3 linked regions of the Drosophila melanogaster genome follow. The protein of the gene in region 1 purifies or fractionates together with the protein of each later gene. This does not show direct contact. Each region holds a gene or a part of one and is shown in the gene's direction. Other genes may lie near its edges. The genes, in order: Arp2, Arpc4 and cpa.

Region 1 (8,149 bases):
CCTCTTCCCAAAAACCGATGATATCAGCTTCTCCTTTATCACTAATCACAACCACTATCAATGCGAAATCAAAAGCTATAAGATATACCACATACATACTCACGCAAGAAATGCCTTCATCGAGATCATATTATCCACGAACCAAGAATATTAACGCTGTACTTTTGCTTCGACTCTTCAACCACCAATAATTGCATTGAACTCTAATCTAAATATTTATACAGATATATATATATATTATATACCGAGTTGGCATTGGAAAACAGTTAGTTTTAGTGATCTATGCACGTATCGTAACAATACCAAGATTAATTAAATCGTAGCTAAAAGAAACAAATCAAGGATGAGGCGGCAGTCGCAGAGTTTCCCTCTTAGCTTTTATAAAAAAAAAAAAGATGGAGAAATGGAAACAACTTACTCAACTAATTGAGAGATACACCATATTTATATAGATATATATATAGCGTTTTTTTTTTTTGTTAATCCTCCACCACAACTATATAATTATTGAAAGTTGATGAAAGCTGTTGGGCCGTTTAAGTTTCAGAGTTTCTGTTCTATATGTGGTTAAAATTGTTAATGTTGTTACACCGCAAATGCATACTTAGTTAGTTAGTCGAGTGAAATGGGAGTTCCCCCAAATCACATTTAATTGCAATAGTCTCGAGTATTGAACGCCAAGAACACCAATTCCATAGAATGATTGTATACACTCAGAAAATCAATCGGCATTTATGTTCGAAAATCGCCGCAAATATTTTCAACAAGTATGGGTTTTTACGGATTTAAAATAATGAAATTGAAAACTAAATTCCATATTGTTAGGCTATAAACAAATGTTTCTATTGATGGACAACATTTCAGGTATAATTTTTGAAAAACAACAAATATTTATTTCAATTGTTAATACCAAAATACGCATAGGTCAACAATTAAGTTTTAATTTTTTTTTTTTAATATAGTTTAATTATCAAAGAACTATACATTTTAAGCCATTAAACGTAGGCAATATTCAGATAATTTTCTGAAATAAATTAATTGTAAATTTTGGATTCTCTTAGGGCGATTTGCATTCCGAGTGTATCAAGAGCCATGGTAAATAATAAAGCTAAGAAGTATTAATAATTCTACACTATGTATGACTAACAATACATTTGCTTAGTTCCCTCGATAAAGAAAGTACATAACTATTGCATGAGGCATAGGCAAAACTTCCTGGCACATAGTAAAAGTAAATAATTGAATAGAACGGCTGAGGAGGAGATGAGTAGATTTTGATAATATGTACGTCAAGACCATGCCAACATACTTATGGGAACTATTTAAAAAGCATTAAAACGTTCAATATAACACATAATACCCAGACAAAAGCAGAATCAAAAAATGCGGGAACGAGACGGCTGCATGGTATATACATACATATATAAGACATTTCGCCTCTTAAAGCAATTATAAAGATAACAAATGAGTAACGTTTATTATATTATTAAATTATACATACATATACATACTATATAAACGGAATAAAATAAATCAGCAACAAACTTTCCATTTTATGGCGTTCGATCACTTAACTTTTTATCCTTGGGAGCAGTATTGTCAAGTTATCATTTTTCTTCTTAATTGCTTAAATTACAATTCTTTAAATACATGCATGTATTCAATGATGGCGCCAAATTTTGAACCTGTTTTAAGTCTTAATTCAAGAATATTTTTCCAAGTATGAGAGTGAACGAGAGGCAAGAGCGCAAACGAAAAATACCAGAAATCAATGTGAGTATTTTGAAATTTCAGCAATTGCCGAATTGGTTTTTCAAATAGATGTGATTAGTTGTTAAATTGCCAAATCTTTAATCCAATAATTTAATTAATAAAGTCTTAATTGAATTGAAATTGTTTTGTGTAAATCCTGTGCAAGTAACATATATTACTAATAAACTTGTATTTTTTAATCTTTTTTAAATTGTTAAAAGTGGCACACAGACTAGTAAACTTAATTAACAAATTTGTAAAATAATAAAAAAATATAATTGGATCTAGTATCTAAACGGTTCTGGTATTTATTTTCGGTGTTTTGTACGCTTCAGTCCAACGCCGATAGTATCGAATATGCATCTATTTTTATTCAACTCTGGGGAGTAACGAGGGAGTTTTTGTACAGCAGTATAACTAAATTATAAGTATAAATAGTCGATAGCGGCAAACTGTTTCGGCCTAAATTTAATTGCGAGTCTAAATTAAGAGTTCAATTCCCAATAACCGCCAAACGAAGCGGCGATAAACGTAAGCGATAGAGTGGCGAAGAGAGCAAGGTTCCCGCCCGCGTGTTGTGAGAGTGTGCGAGTGGAAGAGGAAAGTGTATGATTAAGTACAATCGCTCTCCGGCGGTCCAAATACAAAAAAAGCCGAAAAGGAATCAATTAACAGTAGTGCTCAACAAACGGCCCAGGAAGTCAACAGGAAAGGCGATTGATGTGCAATATTTTGTTTGGTTTTATCGAGCAGAGGCGCTGCGAGCTGTGATTTCAAACCGAATCACAACCAACACCCAAAAAGGCAACCTGGTCGCGTCATCAGTGGAAGTGGAAAGGCAGTTGCCACAGCAGAGGCAGAAGCAACGGGAGTAGCAGAAGCAGTGGTTTTCCAGAGATCCGGTTTTGAGTCCTTCAAGCATGGACAGCAAGGGTCGAAATGTTATCGTCTGTGATAACGGCACTGGGGTAAGATAACGGGAAAGTCACCACCCGCACCGCCCACATCACCCACAAGCGGTGAAAACAGAGCGCACACACCCACACCATCACCAACGACTGGTGTGTGACACACATTTCGAGTGTTGTTGGCTGCGCTTCTTTCGTTTTCTTCTTCTTGTGGACTAAGCAGCGCTTCTGCTGCTGCTGCTTATTTCACTGCTTGCTGGCCAGCGGGCGTTGACGTCGCGGTTAGTCAAGCAGTTGCAGCAGTTGCAATTACGCGATTGCCTCTTCCTCTCCTTTATATTCCGCTTCCCCACTCTTCTTCTTGCTCTCCGCTTGACTAATCAGTGGATTACTCACGATTCCAGCGTTACTCAGTATCTCCCACACCTACATATTTGTCGAAAGAGCGACACTGGCACACACCAACACTTCCATAAAATTTCCGACAATCAGTTCTTATCGCAGGCCCAGAATTTTTGTATTGTGATAACGGTCCGATTTCGATAAGCGTCCGATAAACCACAACAGTAAAAGCGCAAGCAAATGCTGCACCGAGAAAAATGATTTAGCTGGTCCTAAACCAAATAATCAAAACTAATTCAAAAATTTTTGTTTTGTGATAACGGTCCGAATTCGATAAGTCACAGCAGTAAAAACGCAAGGAAATGCTGCACCGGGAAAAATGATATAGCTGGTCTTAAACAAAATGATTAAAAATAATTATTTATTATTATTATGTGCAATTTTTAAGTACCTGTTGATACAAAAGCATTTTAAATTATCATATTACGTGTTAGGGCTTAACTCAAATAATAATATATGTACATATGTCGGCTGTCATATTATTTTAATGTGTTTCCACATACACCATAATATAAATATATGTATTTATGACATCTCCATTTATTTTTCAGTTCGTTAAGTGCGGATATGCCGGCAGCAATTTCCCCACCCACATTTTTCCCTCGATGGTGGGACGACCCATGATTCGGGCGGTCAACAAAATCGGCGATATCGAAGTCAAGGTATGATCCATCGTACTTACCAATTAAAGTATCTAAAATTAATTAACAATATGATGAGATAGTACAACCATATACACTACACAAATTCAATTGTGCACAGGCCATCAAATACACGAATATCCATATATTATATCATTTTTTTTTTCGATGTAACTACTCCATGACTAGTTAAACGGCAAGAAATACATTTAGCGCATAGAAGTTCACTATCCACCAAATTACCCACCATATTTTTTCACCCCTAACCCATCTGATTTTGGAGTGGAATTGCTCTATTTTCTATTCTGTCTATTAGTGTCGCATATCTACTTACTTCTATATAATTTGTTTTCGATCTACCCCATTCGCATATCGTTTCATTTACCATCTTGATTTCATCACTTCTGGGGGTCACTTATCCCAATATTGCATTTTTGCTTGAGTTGCATTGGTCTCGGTGTGTGGGCCCTCATATTATTATACACATGCATACAAAATATATAAATATATATTATGGTAAATATATCATGCTAAAAGTTGGTCCGTGGATATCTGATTTTAACCAAGGTTTAGGCATAGCTTAATAAACTGTGGATATGGAGGCTGAACCCCGCAGACATTAAGCTTTTTTTTTTTTTGAGTGCATCACTTGATTTTCGATATATAGATCTTACTTAGAAGTTCTTTACTTTAGACAGAAGAAACATCAAATTAAGAATCATTAAGAACACATCTTGAATAGCAATAAAAAAAAAAACGATACAGAAAATAAATATTTTTAAAATTGTAATCTTTCTGTTCTTTTTTAATATTCTTATACATTTTTCTGTTCTTTTTTTCACATATATTTTTAAAAACAAATGTTTTGCAGGATTTACATGTCGATGTAAGTCAAGTTTGTATAGTTAAAAAAAAAACCAAAATCCAAACTACCACTACCAGAAATCTAATCACCAAGTAAACATAAAATAATAAAAATTTGTATACGATTGACACAATACGAAAATACCAAAAACCAAAATAACACACGCTTGGCAAAATATTGCGAAATTTTTTTGAAGTTCAAGCTGCGCACTTAGGATTTAATTAATTAATTAACTTAACTGTTAACTGTTCACATTTTTCACTAGTTGTTTGCCTTGAATATTTTCCCAACTATATTCCGGCCCCGTCCAACTATCTTGTTGCTTCCTTTTGGCCATCATCTATAATTGTACTCCATCCACAAAATCGACAAAATCCACAATCGAAAAAAAAAAATTAAAAAAAAAAACAAATCTATTAATTCTCATATCGGATAAATCTGAGGCGTGTTTAAAACCGAATTCCAATCGAATCTGTTCAATTTAACGACAAATTTACGTAAATATAATTTTTGTTATTTAAGTTTTACTCCTATGTTTTCATACCATTTGTTTCCTAGCTTACACCCTTTGGTTTTTTTTGTACATATCTTAAGGCAACCAAATTCAGTTGCTTCTCGTTTTAATTGTGATTTGCTGATTTGAAATTGTTATGTGTTCTCGTCTGCATGATGTCCTGTGTCTGCTTAGCCCTATTTTAATCCCCCGTTTGTTTTGCACGTCCCTGTGTTTGCCAGTGTTCCGGAAAGGCAAGTCCTTTTCCGCAACTACTCACACTCACTGCTGCCTCTTGTTAATCGTTGATTGTTTAGACGAGTTTAGTTGCATTCTTGTAGTGTGCTCGCTGTTATTGTGCCTAACACCTGTGTATGTCTCCCACACTAATGACTAACCATCCCAGCCTCTAAGCAAATACCCAACCAATCAACCATCCAACCAACCAAACAGTCCAAACCAATCCGAATCCCAATGGCTATCCATTGACCAAGCCACGGACACTAACGCTGCGTCCTCTGACGAACGAATTTACAGGATCTGATGGTCGGCGATGAGGCCTCACAGCTGCGATCCCTGCTGGAGGTCTCCTATCCGATGGAGAACGGTGTGGTGCGCAACTGGGACGACATGTGCCACGTGTGGGACTACACGTTCGGTCCCAAAAAGATGGACATCGATCCGACGAACACAAAAATCCTGCTAACCGAGCCGCCCATGAATCCCACAAAGAATCGCGAGAAGATGATTGAGGTGAGGTCATACCATATTTTAAAATCCCACTTCAAACTAACATTGTTGTGTTTGTGTTCACAGGTGATGTTCGAGAAATATGGCTTCGATTCGGCGTACATTGCCATCCAGGCCGTGCTGACGCTATATGCCCAGGGTCTGATCTCTGGCGTGGTGATCGATTCGGGCGATGGTGTAACGCATATATGTCCCGTCTACGAGGAGTTTGCCCTGCCCCATCTGACGCGACGATTGGACATTGCCGGTCGGGATATCACTCGCTATTTGATTAAGGTTGCTTTGCCTTACAATTACATATAGCCAAACTGTGACTTATACTTTCGCATCTATCTATGATCATTAGTTACTGTTACTACGTGGCTACGCTTTCAATCATTCCGCCGACTTCGAAACGGTTCGCATAATGAAGGAGAAGCTCTGCTACATTGGCTACGACATCGAGATGGAGCAGCGTTTGGCCCTGGAGACGACGGTGCTGGTGGAATCGTACACGCTACCCGACGGTCGTGTTATCAAGGTCGGTGGCGAGAGATTTGAGGCGCCAGAGGCTCTGTTCCAGCCGCATTTGATCAACGTCGAGGGACCGGGCATTGCGGAACTGGCCTTCAACACCATCCAGGCGGCAGACATCGACATACGGCCCGAACTCTACAAGCACATAGTTCTGTCCGGCGGCTCCACCATGTATCCGGGTCTTCCCAGTCGGCTGGAGCGTGAGATCAAACAGCTGTACCTGGAGCGGGTACTCAAGAACGATACGGAAAAGCTGGCGGTAAGTTGTCAAGTAAAGCTAATCAATGCACATCGTGTTTAACAAATTGAACGATTACATTGCAGAAATTCAAAATACGCATTGAGGATCCACCGCGACGCAAGGATATGGTCTTTATCGGCGGAGCTGTTCTGGCGGAGGTGACAAAGGATCGCGACGGCTTCTGGATGTCCAAGCAGGAGTATCAGGAACAGGGTCTCAAAGTATTGCAAAAGCTGCAAAAGATCAGTCACTAGAGGCGGATGGATGCGAAATCAGTGTGTGTGTGTGTGCGGACCGCAAGAAATAGGATAAAAAAGTGATAGATTTCTTTTCTCTATTTTCTATAGGTTTAAACCTTTCAGATTTACGTGATATATCCGTCTATATATGTTTTTTTTTTTGTGTGTGCCTGTGCGAGTGGGCGTGTCTGTTGAGCAGGATTGGTCCACTTGCCCTTAGATTATCTATAATCGCAGACATGTCGTCACTGGTCGTTATCCCCGTACAATATAATGTAATATTTCTTTGAGCGCGAAAACTTTAATTCGATAGTCGCCTAAATTGTGTAACCCTGCATTAGTGTGTTTAATTGTTTATAATTACGTCTAAAATTCAAACCCAAAAGCCCTTTTCTTTAATGAATACGCATATATAACTATATATATATACATATATAAATTCAAAGCACCTCGAGTGCGGCGATATTTTTGTAAACGCAAAATGTTTCATTTCCAGCGAGTATTTCACATTAAGTATTAACTAGGCCAAGTCTGCTAGTAGCAGCTACTAAAATCGTGTGTGTGTTAAGACAGAGACAGAGACAGAGGAAATATAACGAGGAAGTTGCATAGCACAGAAGGAGAAAGCGCGAGTTCGGTCGTTAACTAAATACACTGATTGATTCGATCCCGTCTCGCCTCCCGACACTCGACCTTAAAGTAAGCATTTCTGGATTGTCTCCAACTAGATAAAGATGAAGTTACCTACCCATAAAGATACAGATAATCGAAGTCACAAGATTACGCATTTACGTTGCCCCATAATCGAAAGTACCATCAGTCGAAGTGTTAAATTTGATTTAATTTCCTTACCTGCCTTTTCTAGTTAGTTGCAATTTGATGATTGTTGGGGTCGCAACTATCGGCATATGATGAATAGTATATACATATACATATGTGTGATCCATATACATATATCCGTATATGTAAAATGAATGTGGAATGCCAATTATGTAAGTGAATGCAATAAACGTAATTATGTATGATGTGTACTGTATACTGTAGTCTAAAACTAAATCGCATACGACTTTTTTATGGTTTTTTTTTTGCCAAATTAAAAACAAAACAAAAATGACAACAAGAGAGCATGCTATAGTCGAATTCCCCGACTATCAGATACCCGAAAAGAGTTGTTTGGCAAATGGATAGAAATTTAAGAGACTAATAAAAATATGAAAAAATTCAAAACTTTTTTTTAAAAGTGAGGGCATGCCCGTTTTGGGCGGTTTGTGGGCGCGGCAACATGGGTCAACAAACAGTTCTTGAGATCTCGACTTTCATGCGGACGGACACGTCCAGATTG
Region 2 (3,506 bases), on another chromosome or scaffold:
TAAGCTACTATAAAGCGAAAAGAAATGAATGCTTACGGCAAGTTAATGCAAAAAAAAAATTAGTAAAGGAAATCTACATTTAAACTTAAAAGCCCAGGCAGAAAAGCCTATGCAAGTTGAATGCATGCCTGTCATTTAAAATTTCAAATTCTTTTAAAAGTTCACGTTGATTTCAGTTGAAAGTTTAAAACACTTTTTACCTTGAGTTCCAAGAATGTTATATTCGTTTTGGATTCATTATTTTCAAAGTCTTAGTCTTGAATGTTCAAGTTTTTTTTTTTTTTTAATTACTGTGGCATCGACTGAGGTATTCTCAAAATAATAAGCACGCTGTATTTGCATCTATGAATGGCTTTCGCGAGTAAAAATTTGAAAATGTTTTTAATTAAGTTAATGTATACTTTAGTGGTAATTTTAATTTACTAACTTGCAACAACATGATACATATACATGCTGAATATAGTTTTACACTAACAAATAATTTGTTCTTATAAGTTTCGCATTTTCTATCTATAAAATAAATGTCTAACAGAAAAAATACATAAGAAATGCTTATACAATTCAATAAAATCAAATACCATGTAAAACACACGAAACGCATTTTTCCTTTATTTACATACAACACAAACACTAAAAACGCTGATATAGACATTAATATAAATGGAAGGAAACTACGTATAAGCATACATTAATGTGTGTAATATTATATGGAAATGCATATTTTGTCTAACGTCGGGTTATTTTTAGAAATGGGTTTAAGAGGAGAGTGAATGTGGGGGTTATAATAAAAAAAAAAAAAAGTATTTAGGGCAAACCAAATGGAATATTTAGGAAAATTTTTTCCAAAAACCTGCGAGTTATTTTTAATTTTGCACCAAAGGGCGCTTTAAAGATTAGCTTAAATTTAAATCTTATATCGTTATATATGTATGTGTACTCGTGTAAACCTATGGCTTCTACAAATGAATATCAATAACATAAATCTCTTAATAAAAATGTGCATTGGCAAAACAATTTAACACGCACAGGACACCAAATTACCCAGACACGAAAACTTTCAAGCATACTCAAGAAAAAACGAACAAAATATAAACGCAAAGCATAAAATGCTTTGATATTTACTCAATTTATGATATATTAATGTCTAATCCAATGCAATAATCAGCCGAAACATTTTTTGAGTATTGAGAGTAGGAAAGGGTTACAATTTTGAACGATTGATTAAAATACTCACTTTCTAGGTTCACGCATAATTTAAGTTCATATAAGCCACAAATAACTGACCATATGCGAGCAAAAATACTTATAACAATTGTATAATAAAAGTGCATTAAACAAATAAATGCAATATTTATAATTGGTGGATGCTGTTTTCTTCTAAATTAACATTTTTCCTCTTTGCTGGTGTGTTGGGTTTTCGGACTTTAATATGGTACACATATATTTGATATTTCCATTTCAAATTTTAACGCTTCTAGCCATATACATTTTTCTTAAATTTTTAAAATTTAGGTATGATTTAAATTGTTTCACTCCTAAAAATTCCACAAAGATAAGATACAAATGGAAATGGAACAGTGGTTGTGGTCTCGGGTAAGTTCTTGATAGTCAAGTTTCTTACCATCTTAACACAGGACATCATAAGAAATGTTTTAAGTGCGATTTGATAAATGTTTAAAAACAACATGTTTAATATTGATTGTATAAACTTTATGCATAGTCTTCCCAAACATATAATAGAAACTGTTTCATAACAAATTCCAAATAGTTGCTATGTTTTTGCGGCCCCACCTCGGCATTGGTATTTTCCTGCCAGCCGCGCATGGTCACATCTTTTCTGGTTGATAAATTCCAGGGCCTGTGAATCATAATAAGTTAAGTAAAAAGTGCAGATACAACAAACCGCAGGCAGCAGACAACAACCCGACACCCAGACACAATGGCAGCCACATTGAAGCCCTACCTGACCGCCGTGCGACACTCGCTGACGGCGGCGATGTGCCTGCAGGACTTCCCCTCGCAGGTGGTGGAGCGGCACAACAAGCCGGAGGTGGAGATCTGTTCCAGCAAGGAGCTGGTGCTCACGCCCGTCGTCGTGTCGCGCAACGAGCGGGAGAAGGTGCTGATCGAGCCGTCCATTAACTCGGTGCGCGTGAGCATCGCCGTGAAGCAGGCCGACGAGATTGAGCGCATACTGTGCCACAAGTTCACCAGGTTCATGATGCGACGCGCCGAGTCGTTCGTCATACTGCGCCGCAAGCCCATCGAGGGCTACGACATAAGCTTCCTCATCACCAACTTCCACACGGAGCAGATGTATAAGCACAAACTGGTGGACTTTGTCATTAGCTTCATGGAGGAGATCGACAAGGAGATCAGCGAAATGAAACTGGCGGTCAATGCCAGGGCACGCACCTGCGCCGAGGAGTTCCTCAAACGGTTCTAGGTAAGTGTTCCACCTAACAGCCATCGCCATTGAGTCGACGCCAACTTACTCTCGCAAATCCTTTGCAGGTGAAGGCAACCAGTATGGACCCGGTCATGATGCTTTAGTATTTCCAAATGGATTCAAGAATAAAGACGGATTTTGTATTATTTACTCGACTACACCAGTTTTATATGCTATCCCGTTTGGCCGCACCACCACATGACCACTGCGTTCTCGTAGAGAACTTCCTTCTGATTTTGATTCACATCGGCCGGCGCCGGCAACTCCGTCGTTTCCGTTCCGTTTAAGGTCACGTTGTCCCCTTGGGCACTTTGGTCTGTAAAGTGGAACTGCCCCGAGCTGGTGGCTAGAATCGGCATAGCCGGATTGAGTGCCACTCCGTTGCAGCAGTCTGAATGCAGGGGCAGTACGGAAGGATCTCCGTATTTTTTGAGATCCCAAACATTGACGAATCCCCGTGTGTCACCGCTAGCCAGCCAATTGCTGTCGGATGCGAGGTCGAATTGAATACGCTGATTGGTGTCCACATGGCGCTGCAACTCCACCAGTGGCTGCTTGTAGTTGCGCATGTCCCACTGCAAGATCTTATCGCACTTGCGAGCTCCACTGAACAGATGCCACTCCCCGTTGCCAAACTCTCCATAGCGCAGTTGTGTGATGCCGCCCTTGTGCCCTCCCAGCGTGAAGAGAGGACCCTGCTTGTGGCTACACCGCAAGTCAAAGTGCTGGATGTAGCCATGCCAGTTGCCGCAGGTTAGAGTGTGCGGGTGCGCAGTGGTCTGTGCAATGCAGGATATGGCAAACTTGACAGGGTAATCGTCGCAAAAACGTCCGGGTCTACGGAGTAGAGTTTGAGTTGCATTAAATGAGCGTACGAAAATAAGCAGCCGACTCACCTGCTGGTGTCGAAGATCTTGATGCAGCGCTTGTATCCCGCATAGATCTGCTCGCCGTCATGGGAGAAGGCCAAGGAAATGGCCGCCATTACTTCGTCTACGGCATCGTACCCACTGTAGCTGCATCGCAGGGAACCGTCGAAGGCATCCCACATGTGTAT
Region 3 (4,922 bases), on another chromosome or scaffold:
GCCTCTACGGTGAGAACGTAGGTGTTTTCGGGCTGCTCCTCTTTGACCTTAGGAGCGTATCCGGCGCAGTTTTTGAAGGCGGGCTTACGATTGTCGCCGGAAAAGTTTTTGTCCGGCGGCGAGTGAAGTGCGAGGGCGGGTGACAGAAGGCTGATGGCCACGATAACGCCCAGGAGGAGTCTCGCGGGGATTAGTCGCCTGCCAAGGTCGCGGCATTTTCGCTTGTGCTGCTGGTGCGTCTGTTGCTGGGCGGGATTTAGGTGGCCGGCCTGCGGGGTCGCCGACATATTGATGCAGTGGTAGCTTCTGGACATTCGCTGGACACTGGTGGACATACTCTCTAGCGGCGATCCGCCATCGCAGACTCTCTTTTTTTCAACCGCAACACTTTTGAGCACTTCTTCGTGAATCACCCAGTATTATTTCACTCACACACCTTTTACTTTTGTTTGTGTTGCCCACTTCTACTTCCACTTCTTTTTTATTCTATTCTATTTGCACTCTTCTTCTTGTTTCGTTTCTCTCAGTGTACCGTTTGTTTGGACTGCATTTTCATGGCAACCGCTCAATAATTATCAATCGAATCGAACTCGTACAGTGCGCGCCCTGATTGTTAACTGACTTATTCCGATTTCGGTGCAGCTGCTCTGGCTGATATTTTCGTTCACTTTTATCTTTCACTCGTCCGCTTGGGCACTCTCTTTCTCCGTTTCTGTTGCCTCCTCTCTTTCGCACCGCAAACAGGTAAGACCAGGTAAAAAAGTGGTTACACGCACACCGCCAAGCGCGCGCATTTGTGTGCGTGTGGTTCGGTTCGCTGCGTTGGTATGTGTGTTACCAACGACTTTTGGTAAAAAGGCACTTTTCGATGGTATTTCGTTGTGAACTTGTACTTTCTGGCGAATTATTTTAAATAAAAAGATCGCAAAACGTATTTTCTTTCACTTCGATCGCTTTTATTGTCGACTTACAACGAAGCTGCGGAGCCACACCGATTTTGAAACTGCGATCGACGCGCGAGACAACCGCTCAATTCAAAAGCAAAAACACAATGCAACAAAAACAACGGGCGGCGTTAGAGATGTGAGACACCGTCGATTCCTCGGTCATCGATAATTAACGGTTAATAATCTCGATGTTTTCGTTTTATCGATACTATATACTGTCTACACTTCTCGATAAATACGTTGATGTGAATCAATTACACTGGATTTAATATAACAAATATTTCTTTAAAAATGGAAGCTGGAAGATAAAAATGGCCCAGCTTGGGCTTTCAAATAGAATTATTAACAACTATTTTTCACAAACAAACAGGTTAATTTTAAACGAGTTGATCAATACTTTAATACTTATATAACTGAAAAATATTTAATAACCAAAACTAGCTACCATGTACAACAATAACATAATTTGCTTTAAAAAAGTTCTGATTGAGTTTGGTTTTGAACAGGCAATGATATTTATTGGTCTCGAGGAACTATTTCTATAATGTATTACATTCTACATCGTTAAAAGTTTTTTTATTGCAATTCAAGTAACGCGCCAAGACTTTTGCCATTCACCCGTCGGATTATGGAGCAGTGTAGACTGCCCGTAAAATACGGTGAATCGCATCCGGTACAGGTACACAAATATTTCCCATCCCTAGCAAAGAGTGGAAAAAAAAGTGAATCGAATCGTCATCGTCTTGGCCCATTAATTGCGGAGAAAAAAGATTGCAGCGCCGAAAAAACGGTCAAGGAAGAGTTCCAGCGACACCGCAACTTCCAACCACTCCACAAGAAGATCCCGTCGAAAGGTAGAACCCTAGGAACCGGAGGGGAAACCAGACCAAACCAAACAACCGCCCAGCCCCGATTTCGTGAATCACCAGTGGAACTATGGAGCAGACACCGATCACCGATGCGGAGAAGGTGCGCATCGTATCGGACTTCATCCTACATGCGCCGCCCGGCGAGTTCAACGAAGTGTTCAACGATGTGCGGGAGCTCCTCAAGAATGACACTCTGCTAAAGGATGGGGCTAGCCACGCCTTCGCCCAATACAACAAGGACCAGCTGACTCCGGTTCGCATCGAGGGCACCGATCATAACGCCATCATATCGGAACACAACGATCTGGGTGAGTTCAGTTCCATCAATGCCCTTAAATGGACAAAGCCTGCCATATGAGTCACCTACACACATTGTTTGGCTTTCGGTCGATATCTTGAGCCCCACACTGATAAGCAATTGCATTCCAGGAAACGGTCGCTTCTACGACCCGCGCACAAAGCAAGCCTTCAAATACGACCACCTCCGAAAAGAGGCTTCCGACTACCAGGACGTAGAGGCAGATGCCACTGCGGAGCCCTGGAGGGCGGCCCTCGACCTGGAGACGCTCGCCTACACTGCCAGTCATTATAGACACGGGGTAAGTTGAATGAAAAACGCTCTATTGCTTACAATAACCCGTAACATTTTCTCTACAGGTCAGCTCTGTTTTTGGAAAGGCGCAGGGCAACCAGATCACCCTGACCATTTGCATCGAAGACCACCAGTTCCAGCCGAAGAACTATTGGAATGGCCGATGGCGCTCCCAGTGGCATGTGACCTTCCAGGCGGGCAGCGGAACCGCCGAACTGAAGGGTGTGCTCAAGGTGCAGGTGCATTACTACGAGGACGGCAACGTCCAGCTGGTGTCCTCAAAGGAGTGCCGCGAAAGCGTGGTGGTCAGCAACGAGCAGCAGGTGGCCAAGGAGGTGATCCGTCTGATCGAGGACGCCGAGAATGAGTACCAGCTGGCCATTTCGGAGAACTATCAGACGATGTCGGACACGACATTCAAGGCAATGCGTCGCCAGTTGCCCATCACCAGGACCAAGATCGACTGGAGCAAAATCGTCTCGTACAGCATTGGCAAGGAACTGAAGACGCAATAAGACCAGGAGGTGCAAGCGGAAGAGGAGCGGACACAGTCGACAAAGCGGCCCAATAGTCTTCCACTTGCCATGGCCAAGCGAGCATAGGAACCGATCACCAGCATTAACACCACAGCATCCGAAACGAAGTAGCAGGAATACGAGAAACGAGGGCGGCCAGGTGCAGGTGCCTGCCGAAAAAGCAAATGTCTGTAATTGGCTATATACATACGAACATATACCTACTTATATATATATATACGGCCTGTATTTATACTGTGTTATACAACGACGAAAGTGCGTAAACATAACTACACATATATCGAGTACGATCGGAGACGATTTGATTGCAAGGATTTGGATGACTTTAGCCTGACGGTGAACGATGCACTGCCGCCTCGTCTACGTCACGATCGCCACCAATTGTCGCCTTTATCGTTTAAGAAGAGCATTAAACGCGGATTTTATCATGTCCTCTGACCTATGTATTATTCTAATTTTAAACGAATCAAGCTCGAGATCTGCGCTCTCGATGAGCCAGTCAATTCTTCGTGTCTTTGAAGACCAACCAGCCGACTCTCGACTATTTTAAGTGGTATCATTAGGAGCACTCATTCAAGTTTTTCGCTTTCCCGATTGTTCACAAACCAACCACCTAGTATGAGCATGAATAATAACTATGCTAAACCACTGATCATTTTTGCCAGCTCTCCATTGACAAACAATAACTAAAGACTTTGATTTTATAAAAACAATAAATTTGTAATTAAAATAACATAACTATAAAACATTTAAGATTGCTTGAATTAGTCAAATTTAAAGAGAATAAACTAATTGAATCGGACATTCGGATTGTCTTCACTTTGAATGTGTTTCTGGTTGTTGATCCGATGCGGATAGAATGACATTGGAATCAACTTGCTGGGCAGTTTGTTTGGTTATACTCTCGGGCAGATCGAAGGTTAGTTCCTCGGATTTTTTAAGCAAAAATCGTTTCTCTGGGTTGAGTTTTGTTTCCAGCTCCAGTCGATCGATCAGCCAGCCTCTATCCGGCTGATTGGACGCCCAAAAGTATAAAGTTCCTGCAAATATAAGGTTGGTAAACGCCAAAGATTTGCTTTCAAAATCGATGGATCTACCTTTATCCTTGCTGCCCCGCACAGCCACCTCACAACGCGCCTCCTCCGCATTGCAATTGTTGTTGGCGTTGGACAGATCGATGCCAGAGTCCTTGATGGGTTCACCCAGGAGACCAACTGCTCCTCGATGGCTCCGCAGTGCCTTCAAGGCCAGTTTGTAGTACTCTGCGGATTTCACCCGATCCTCCATCTTCCATTTCATGTACATCACAGCGGATATGGAGGCCACCGCACCGTAGACACAAATATTGCCCAGTGTTCGGTTCGACGGAAACTTGAGTCCAACCATCTTGCTAACGCTTTTTTATTTACAATCCAGCTGCTGTTACTTGTGTAATATACCGTATAGCCGGCGTCGAATTAGCGATGACAGCTGGTCGATATCGTTATGTGAAAAGGCTTATTAAGACCGAAGTCCACCTCTAAATGCATTTATATGCAAATTATTTGCAGAAAATATAACAACATCATCTATTGTTATGTTGTTTTAGTGACAATTAAGTCATATTATAAAATTGCTCATAAAATTGCTTTTCATTTAAAAATAATTTCGATAGTTATTTGTTTTGAAAAATCAGCTGACTGGTCGTATACTTTATAACCAGGGCTGCAGTGCCACACTTATAGTTAGCAGATTATACAACAAAACGCACAGTTTTGTAAATATCTGTAATTTATCATTTGTTTTTCTATTAAAGTGACGAAAACGGATTAAATAAAGCACATAGCAGACATGACCAGCCTAACCGCAGTTTTCCAGATGGCGAGGCAGCGATTGATAGCCCCAGCGATAGGAAACTGGGCACGTTTTTATGCTGCAAAACCGGCGGCGCCAGGTGAGCCTCCACATCCAGGTTAAATAGTTAACAACTAATAGTAAA

The links.
Region 2: the proteins of Arp2 (region 1) and Arpc4 purify together in Drosophila melanogaster (affinity purification with mass spectrometry, with the first as the bait; one large-scale study listed by BioGRID). This does not show direct contact.
Region 3: the proteins of Arp2 (region 1) and cpa purify together in Drosophila melanogaster (affinity purification with mass spectrometry, with the first as the bait; one large-scale study listed by BioGRID). This does not show direct contact.

What each region holds. Positions count from the first base shown.
Region 1 is NC_004354.4:16,547,915-16,556,063, reverse strand, and holds Arp2 (Actin-related protein 2), read left to right. Parts: upstream 1-2,112; 5' UTR 2,113-2,672; coding exon 2,673-2,720; intron 2,721-3,613; coding exon 3,614-3,724; intron 3,725-4,574; coding exon 4,575-4,589; intron 4,590-5,598; coding exon 5,599-5,814; intron 5,815-5,877; coding exon 5,878-6,087; intron 6,088-6,157; coding exon 6,158-6,586; intron 6,587-6,651; coding exon 6,652-6,822; 3' UTR 6,823-7,279; downstream 7,280-8,149. UniProt on the Drosophila melanogaster protein: Functions as ATP-binding component of the Arp2/3 complex which is involved in regulation of actin polymerization and together with an activating nucleation-promoting factor (NPF) mediates the formation of branched actin networks.
Region 2 is NT_033779.5:6,123,310-6,126,815, forward strand, and holds Arpc4 (Actin-related protein 2/3 complex, subunit 4), read left to right. Parts: upstream 1-1,822; 5' UTR 1,823-1,939; coding exon 1,940-2,446; intron 2,447-2,514; 3' UTR 2,515-2,602; downstream 2,603-3,506. Other genes in the region: WDR79 (WD repeat domain 79), read right to left, coding at 2,623-3,286, 3,346-3,506.
Region 3 is NT_033778.4:21,056,139-21,061,060, forward strand, and holds cpa (capping protein alpha), read left to right. Parts: upstream 1-1,648; 5' UTR 1,649-1,883; coding exon 1,884-2,124; intron 2,125-2,245; coding exon 2,246-2,415; intron 2,416-2,473; coding exon 2,474-2,923; 3' UTR 2,924-3,745; downstream 3,746-4,922. Other genes in the region: shg (shotgun), read right to left, coding at 1-335; CG15653 (uncharacterized protein), read right to left, coding at 3,761-3,984, 4,042-4,330; mRpL54 (mitochondrial ribosomal protein L54), read left to right, coding at 4,775-4,877. UniProt on the Drosophila melanogaster protein: F-actin-capping proteins bind in a Ca(2+)-independent manner to the fast growing ends of actin filaments (barbed end) thereby blocking the exchange of subunits at these ends.